Oryzias latipes: one gene and its partner. The protein of the gene in region 2 binds, or shares a complex with, the protein of the main gene of each other region. Links are inferred from orthologs where the notes say so. Each region holds a gene or a part of one and is shown on either strand. Other genes may lie near its edges. The genes, in order: fst and gdf11.

Region 1 (4,305 bases), on a different chromosome or scaffold from region 2:
TGGGGTATGTGGTGTTGTCGCTGGCACAAACCGACTCATCTGTCCTACTCTCCTGACAGGACTCATCACAGAGCGAGCAGCGGCCCCGGCCCATCCTAGAATCCCACAGACACTTCTTCCCTCCGCTACACTGGATGTCCTCGCATGACTTTGCCTCTGGATGAAGAGACGAGGAAATCATCATCAGTGGCTACTTAGATTCCACACGTCTAAAAACTTTTTTAACAGAATTAGATTAGTTCGGGTTTTCTGTGCATTTATCTGGAAAAAACAAACAAACAGCATCTATCTTATCAGATGCATCAGGAACACAAAGTTGCATTCAGGGTGAGCATTTTTCCAGAAAATACATGGCTCAGATTGATTGTTATCTAGATAGGAAACCATTTGGCCTAAAACTTGCAGCTTTTTCTTCATGGCCCCCAGCTCTCCCCTGTTTTGCTCTCTAACTTCCTCCACTTCGCCTTCACTCTCTCCCATATGGGATAGTGCTGCCAACATCAGGAAATAATAAGATGTCTATCATTTCTTGAGCAAACACAAGCAAGTACCAAACACCCTCTTTCTCTGAGACCTCCTCCCAACTGGAATGTTGGCAGAAACGAGAAGTGCATTACTGCAGAGGTGGCCAGGGAGAAAATGTAGCCACAATCAAAGTGGCTGCAAGGAGGCGCTGTGTCAGGGGGTTCAGTGTGACGCTTTCACATCTCTTGTTACAGACTTACTGATGCATTTTCCCTCGTACGCAACTCCGATAGACTTGCCGAGGAGACAGGTCGCCTTTCTCAGGTGACAGGCGCTGGCATAGATGATCCCGTCGTTTCCACACAGGTACTGCTCAGGTGACGTCGCCTCAGGGCAAAGCCGATTACACATCACACAGTATGCGTTGTTTGTCTGGTCCACGACGCATGTTGAGCTGCCAGGACACAAGACATCACGGCACGTTTCTGGAGACAAAGAGAAAATGATGTCAATGGGAAAATCAATGCAGCAGCCACTCCGCTCTTTCTTCCTGCTCCTCTCACTTGCAGCCTGAAAAGACTCAAAAGTTAATTAAAAAAACATAAATAAATAAATAAAAAACACCTACTCTTGCATTTCCCCTGGTACTGCACGTCCAGGTCGGGGTGGCCTCTGCATTTCGCCTTCAGGAGAGCGCACTCGTCCTTGTAGGTCTTCCCGTCAAAGCCGCAGACCGGTCCTTTCCAGGTGATGTTGGAGCAGTCTGGAGCGCACACGCAGCGCGGTTTACTTCTTCTGTTCATCTTGCATCTCTTCCCAGGTCCGCAGTCAACATTATCGCAGCTTTCTACAAGAAAAACACCCCCGCGTTAAGGAATGTGTGCGTAAAATGATTGACATTGAGTGACACATTGATACTTTACGTTGGCTGAATGCGTTAATCACATAATCGGTTTGATTGGTGGTGTGCTTTAGTTTATGCGAAAAACCAAGGAAAATGAGTGCACCTCCACCTTTGCAAGGTATGCAATTTGGAGCTCCGCCATTGAAGATTATCCACTTAAAGAGCGTGCTGTTGGGAACGTCCTCCTCGGTCCAGGACGTTCCCAGCCTTCCACTCCGGCAGCACTCCTCCTTGCTCATCCCTTGCATGTAGAGGACCTGACATCTCCCGTTCCTTCCCTGCTGCAACCAGCAGTTCCCGGCTGCAAACAGCAACAACATTAAAAGAAAAGAATCTTGAGTATCGCTCGCTGAACGTGTATCACAGACCCAGACACACCAGACACGCAGGCGGATTGTATTATCTGAAACGCTCCCTCCCTCCTCTTTCACCCTCCCGGTGGTATTTTGTCAGATTTTTTTTCCAAGACTGTTAACACTTGCCTATCCCAACTGTGACTGACAGCTCTTACAATGCAAACTTAGAAAAGTAAAAAAAGAATCTTTTTTTCTTTTATTCCAAAAATCTCCTTGTTGCCATTGCGCACAAACTGAATCGTCTAGACAGCGAAGCTCAATCATTACGAAAACCACGGTCTTTACAGCAAGACTGAACAAACCACCATCTCCAACGCCTCACTAAAATATCCCAGACATGTACCAGACACTGACATGTCTGCGACACATGGGGGAATTTAATTCAAAGTCATATGACATAAAAAAACAGAAATGTCAACCTTTGACACATTTTCAAAAAACTATAACAAAATTGCTATAAAATTTGATTTTTATGTTGGTATAATGTGTCTATGACATGATGTTTTATGGTAGATCTCTTGGAATTTGGAACCCCAACATAAATTGAGGTTTGCTCATTTATTTCATAAGCAAAAATAAAAAGGAAAAAGGAAGAAATTCGAGCGCAAAAGCTGAAAGGGTGTGTGCCATAAATAAATAAATAAATATAAACTGCTCATAAAGCTATCTGTGGCCACTCTGAAGTTTGTTGGAGGGCAGGCGACAGCTTCATTAAACACTTTCAACGCTCACATAAAGGTCTTGAAATATGTGCAGATATTTACAGAACGCTGCGTGGCGGCTTCTAGCGCGTGAGCCCGCCGAGGGCTGCAGAAATGTGCCATTTTCCCCACTTTGAAGTCTGAAGCCATTACCACATGGCACCTGTTTTATATAGGGTTAACGCGCACGCCGTCTGGCGCACAGAGTTTTGGTCGTTGGGAGGAAGAAGAACCAGAAGTCACTCTGGAAAGTTTCCCTTTGGCAACGAGATTCCTGCATCCGCGCGTTTAGAGGTTCTACATTAAAACATATTAAAAAAAAAAGTCAGGAGACAGACAAGGAGAGCTTACCTTGAACCTTCTGATGTTCCATGAGGTGACAAAGCCACATGAAGAAGAGAAAAATGCCCGGGTGGAGGTGGTGATTGAGCATCCCAAGCATGATGGAGAGGCAAAGTGAGCCACGTATTTGACACAAGCAGCGCAAAAGTAATCTGCTTAAGGTGGCAGGGCTGAATAAGTGTCAGTCTGAGAATGCAGCCTCTCTTTTTAAATCTATATGGGGTCTCGGGTTGACTGTCTGTGGTGGGCGGTCCCCTCTTCTGTGGGGGTGGGGAGATGTGTTTTTTTTTTTTCTTACCCAAGTTCTTTCAATCCCAGTCAGGTGACATCGTTACAAGGAACTTTCCCTTCCCTGCGCTGAGAGGAGCATGGAAATATTTGTTATGCAAAGCCAGACGTTTGAATCCTGAAGCTATAAGAGGAGTGAAGAAAAGAAAAATATGAAAGTATAACATTTGTTTACTATATGAGACTCGGATTCCCTATTTTTTTCTTGCAATAATAATGTTAACATTAATATTAAAATTTATATTTTGAAGAATTGCGTTTCTTTAAAAGGGTAACGAAACCCATCAGATCATCTCGCAGTCCCTTCAATCTAGGGATAAGATGATTGGTAACTGATATTTGTCCACCAACTGCGGACAAAAGTGTAAATCTTTTGATGAGCTGCCTTTGAGAACATATCCGAGCTCAGACAATAATAGAATTCATAGTAGTCGGCAGCCGCGCGGCTAATATTAGAACAGACAGTTGTTTGGGTTTCTTTCCCGGGTCAAGCTTTTAAATATAATCAAACCTGTTTCCGATGAGACCGAGAACTGGGGTGTTGCGTTTCATTGAATGAAACGCACACACATTTACAAACACACACGTGCGCGCGCGCAGATCCGCTGGCTGGAGCAGACGCGCGCGGAACTCCTTCAGAAGTCCTTGCGCGACCTCTTCGGCGGAACTCAGGTGCCGCGTCCCTGTGCCGCTCAGAGCGCAGCGTCTGCTGCGCGCCGGGAGTTCCGAGGACGCGCCGATCCGCGTCAACACATCACCGCTCTGTCTCGTTTACTTGCAAAATATGAAAGAAAATCCTCCTGAAAGAGGACGATCTCCGACAAGATGCAGGTTGTACCCTGCTTGTTTGAACAAGTATCACTACTAGTACGTTTCCATATTTTCAGAAAGGTTATTCTCAGAAGCACAATCACGCACGACAATCAGGAAACTTGTTGGGTAGCGTGCACACAGGCCCAGACTGGAAGGCACAGTCACCTCCTCAATTCAAGGCGAGGGCTTCATTATGTGCTTCTAGCAGACAGAAATGCTTGGAAATAAAATGTATAATCAAGTTTGAATGTCTACAGTAATTGAATTTTATTGTTAATGAACTAATTGGGTGATAAACTTTGATCACCCCTCCCAATTTTTCCATTCTAAGTTCCAAAAAATGTCAAAAGATTCATGAAATACTCTTTTTTTTGGAGTACAAAAAACGTTTTGAAATGGTAAACAGTCTGCATCTGCTTTAATCAGTGTCATTTAA
Region 2 (4,423 bases):
AAAAGGCACTTTTATTCCTGTGGGATCCTGAAGACGCCACAGGCAAAAAAAAAGAAAAAAGAAGAGATACACTCATTCTCTCTCAACTCTTCCAGGAAAGCTGGAAGAAAAAGAGGGCAAAAGGGGATGAGGGGCTAACAGGGATGAAGGTGGAGATGAGACGGGGAGCAGATGATCCAAACTGCTGGGAAAAAAGATGAGAGGAGGCTTGCTCTAACCTGAAAGATTTGGCTATGAGAGTTGGATTGTTAGCTCCTCTGGTTGGCATGAGCCCGTCAAAATGGTACAGTTAACAGGCTTTATTTAGGTTTTATTTAGCACTTAATTTTGCTTGTGTTTGTGACAACAGAAAAAGGGAAGAAACGTCACAAAACCTGAGCTAATATTATAGCTAACCCTCTGAACTGGTACAGGGCTCCGGAGTTAACTTCTGTGGTAATATAACCCCAAATGTGATGCATGTAGGTCCTTAGAGGTTAATGAATGTTCTTCCCAACTTTCTAACTTTTCTCTTGTTTAAAAAGAATAAAATTGAGAAAGAGCTTCTATTATAATTTAACACATTTTTATTAAATATTACTGAACTACTGATCAAGGTTTGACTCCTTGATGTCTGAATTTATGCAGAAATGAGAATAAAATCACTTATGTTTTTGCTTTCAGGGAAGATGCTAATTTTGGAGCTGAAGTGGTTTGTTTCATATTAGCATCAATAGGCGACATGGGGTCAAACATATTGCATAAACAGGACAATTTTGGGCACAAATATGTCTTTTATTGATAAAAATTATCTGTAAGACTGAACTATAAAAAGCAGAAGATAATATGATCTGCAAAAGAAGAGGAAGAGCTGCAGCACACAATATCCACGACAAAGAAGAATCCTTAATTAATATGAGAATAGAATCATGGTGCTATTATAGATTATGGTCCATTAAAAAACTTAGATAGATAGATAGATAGATAGATAGATAGATAGATAGATAGATAGATAGATAGATAGATAGATAGATAGATAGATAGATAGATAGATAGATAGATAGATAGATAGATAGATAGATAGATAGATAGATAGATAGATAGATAGATAGATAGATAGATAGATAGATAGATACATAGATAGATACGCCTCGTGAAGAATATACTGCGTGCGTAAAGGTTGCTGAACCCCTCGATTCGTCAAGAAAAGGTCACACACTCCCCTCGACCCTAAGTGATCCTCTGCCTTTGTGTACCAGTGGTTTAAAAAAAACTAGCTGTGCCTATAAACTTCGCATTTAAAAGGCAAGTGCGACCGAGGGGGGCCCGCTGCATGAGGGGAACAATGGCAGCTTTTTGGACACACTTTTTCTCATTGCGATGAACAGCAGGGAAACCGGTAAAGGCTCCTATAAAAGGCCGATCGAGCCCAGCTGCCGGGGTTCAGCAGTAATTTTATAAAATGTCTCCAAGGGGCCTGCCTGTGGATTTATGGGAAAGTATAAGAGAGCGAGCAAATTGTTGGGAGGCAATAATAACCAGAGAGCCTCGTGATGCGATCATAACTCCAGAGTTTTAAGGTCCACATCATGCAAACGAGGACGCAGAGGGTAAACTGAGGCAACCGTCTGCCAAATGCTCCATTATCATTAATAATGCACTTGACATTCAAACACGCACGCCACGCCTTTCCTGTCCGTCAAACGCGCATGGAACAAACTGAAAGTTTACAGATGGATCGGAATAAATTCTGCGCACTGGGGTGCATCACCAAGCACACAGGCGGTGTTGGTTCTGTCTTTTTTCCTAAGCTCCTTCTCATGATTGATTTTTCAGGTTAACTCATATAATCCTCATTTTGACAGCTGTGGGGAACAGCTGAGAGGGGTCACTTGTCTAATTTTATCAGCCGGCTTTAGACACACAAAGAGAGCCCCAATCTCAATATAAAAAAAGTAGGTGAGGTCACTTGAGTGACCACAGCGGCTCCGCTGTCCGCGCAGCAGGCCTGAATCACTTGAACCGATCTGCTCCACAATTACGCACAGGGCGCATTTGGAGGGACCGTCGCTGCGGGGCAGTAAATAGTTACTTACGCTCTGAGGCCATTGTGATCACGGACTCCGTGGTGGCGTGGTACTCGTCTTCTTCCATAAACTCATCCTGCAACGTCGCGTCTCCTTGGAAGTCGTGATGATCCAGGAGCTGCTGGAGCGGAGGCGCCTTGGGCAGCAGCTGATTGACCACCTCTCGGCTGATGTTAGGTGCTTGTTTCAGACGCAGCTTGCTCAGGATCTGGGACTTGATGGTCTCCAGTCTTAATACTTTACTTTGCTCCCTCCAAACACAGGCGGAACACTCGTGAGAACCTGCGTCCTCGTCCAGCAGAGACAGTCCGGCATCCGAAGGCGTCTCGCTGCCAGGAGGAAGCTGCAGATTGGGCTCATCGCTCCCTGACTTTCCCAGGGAGATGAGCACCACTAAACACAACAGAAAGCTGTACTTCGGCATGACGATGCGCGGACACCAGGAGAGGCAACTTTTCCCCTCTCCCCTCTCTTGTTTCGGACTCGATTTATTCCGTTATATATCCTCTTTCGATTATGAGCCGCTCCTCAGCCTACAAAAGGCACACAATCAGTGACATACATCTAATCCAAAAAAATATGAATCCAAAGATGCTTTTTTAGTAGTGTGTGGCTGGAAAAGAAAAAGAAAATAACAAAAAGGAAAAAAGTGCGTCCCGGCGTGTCACGGTACAAACTGTTTTGGCTGAAAGTTAGGTTATCTGAGTGATGAATGCATAGCCAGCTCACGTGTCGTACAGGTCAGTGGTTGTTTTGGGGTCCCCTGTGCAAACTGATCCATGGAGGTGTGCGTATGTTCAGGGGTGTCACTGAAAAATGTGCAAGTGCGCCTAAAAAAAGGGCCCTTTATATATCACAGCTGCCTGGTGTCGTAATCCGTCTCTATTGGCTAAGATTTCAACAAAAGGCTTTTAGGTCTGTCACCAAGTCAAGAGGGATGGAGCGAAGGGAGGGCGCGCACTCCTGCGAAAGTATAAATGTTTTACAGTGCACAAACAAAAGCTCATTTTCCTCTCATATGAGTTAAAAAGATTCTTTTCTAATCATCTGAGAAGCAAACGTCTTGCAAAGTGGTCCATCTGTCCACAAACACTTAAAATAATGGTGCCATGTGCGCTTTTTTTTGCAGATACATTCATATGTATTGAAATACACAGAAAGACTCTCCAAGCTGAAAAGTAGTATTATTTCGTTCATATTAAAAAAAATAAAGCGTATGTGCTTGAAAAGACATAAAAGCTTGTGACAGAAATTAGGGTTTAAGGCGTGTTAGAGAAACATACAACAAAATATCTGTTTAGGCAAGTTTGCATTTCGTTTGAAAGCTTGGATCCAGTGAAAAAAAAAGAGCACTAATTATTGTTTTAATATATTTTACTGTTCTGCATTGAATTTGTCTCACATTTTTCTCGTAAACATGTCAGGATTTAATCAAAATGTTAAATTCGTTTCTCATACTTAAAGTAATAGAGGATGTTAATTGTATTTTCCCTCTAAATCTTGTAAAGCGTTATGATGTTATCCAGATACTTTCATTTGTGTGCACATTTCTGAAACATCGACTGAATGCTGACACCTGCTGGAAGAAAGTAGAATTGCAGCTTTAGAGCTCTTCCATCTTCACAGCAGCATGAACTTGTTGCAGGTGTGGAGCAACTCCAGGTTTGTTCCTTTATCATTTTAAATGTTGAATTTTCTAGATAACTTTATTTTTATTTTTAAATGTCTAAATAAATGTTGGTAATTGGTCATATGCAGACCTTTTCTAAAAAAAAAAGAAAATTGTGAAAAAGTTTCTCATTTCCATTATTCCGTTCAAAAATGTTAACTTTCAGCTTCAGGGCCCACTGTTTAATTGATTTCAAGTACTTTTTGTTATTATTTTTACATAGCGTGTGGCTCCAGCTCATAAAACCTACAAAAACAGGATTCAGAAGATTGGAATACTCTGGTGGTGCAGTGGTTAGCGCTCTTGCCTTCCAGCAAGAAGGTTCTAGTTCAAATGTGTGAAGTTTGCATGTGCATGAGTGGGTTTTCTCTAGGCACTCCTCCCAAAGTCCAAAAACATGCTTTATAGGTTAATTGGTCACTCTACAGTGTCCCTTGGTATGTGTGGGAGTGATTGTGTGCCTTGTGACAGACTGGCGACCTGTGTATCCCGCCCGTAGCTGGGACAGGCTCTGATGACCCTTGACCCTCAAGGGATATAGAAGGTTAAGAAAATGGATGGATGGAATACTCTGGAGAAATCTGACTAAAGGTTGCTGGGCATGAATGTTTTAAACTGAGTTTCACCAACTAATCATCTACTACACTCAATGCACCGGCACAGGTTCGCCAGATGACATTAAATTGGT

What was found.
Region 1: the proteins of gdf11 (region 2) and fst are in contact, whole or in part, in a crystal structure (PDB 5JHW), measured with the Homo sapiens proteins. The link is inferred for Oryzias latipes from reciprocal best matches to the Homo sapiens genes GDF11 and FST. Residues at the interface, in NP_005802.1 of Homo sapiens: Asn299, Leu300, Gly301, Leu302, Glu310, Arg312, Asp328, Trp329, Ile331, Ala332, Lys334, Arg335, Tyr336, Lys337, Tyr347, Met348, Phe349, Met350, Pro354, His357, Gln361, Ile380, Asn381, Leu383, Phe385, Asp387, Lys388, Gln389, Gln390, Ile391; in NP_037541.1 of Homo sapiens: Leu34, Arg35, Gln43, Val44, Leu45, Tyr46, Lys47, Thr48, Arg60, Ser62, Asp72, Asn73, Leu75, Phe76, Met79, Ile80, Leu134, Asp135, Arg149, Gln153, Pro154, Glu155, Val180, Val181, Asp182, Gln183, Tyr188, Val190, Thr191, Asn193.

Annotation. Positions count from the first base shown.
Region 1 is NC_019867.2:5,754,231-5,758,535, forward strand, and holds the start of fst (follistatin), read right to left. Parts: upstream 3,025-4,305; 5' UTR 2,869-3,024; coding exon 2,778-2,868; intron 1,671-2,777; coding exon 1,473-1,670; intron 1,313-1,472; coding exon 1,094-1,312; intron 951-1,093; coding exon 726-950; intron 157-725; coding exon 1-156. UniProt on the Homo sapiens protein: Multifunctional regulatory protein whose primary function is to antagonize members of the transforming growth factor beta (TGF-beta) superfamily including activin, myostatin, GDF11 or bone morphogenetic proteins (BMPs).
Region 2 is NC_019863.2:27,063,904-27,068,326, forward strand, and holds the start of gdf11 (growth/differentiation factor 11), read right to left. Parts: upstream 2,883-4,423; 5' UTR 2,491-2,882; coding exon 2,076-2,490; intron 1-2,075. UniProt on the Homo sapiens protein: Secreted signal that acts globally to regulate anterior/posterior axial patterning during development. May play critical roles in patterning both mesodermal and neural tissues. It is required for proper vertebral patterning and orofacial development.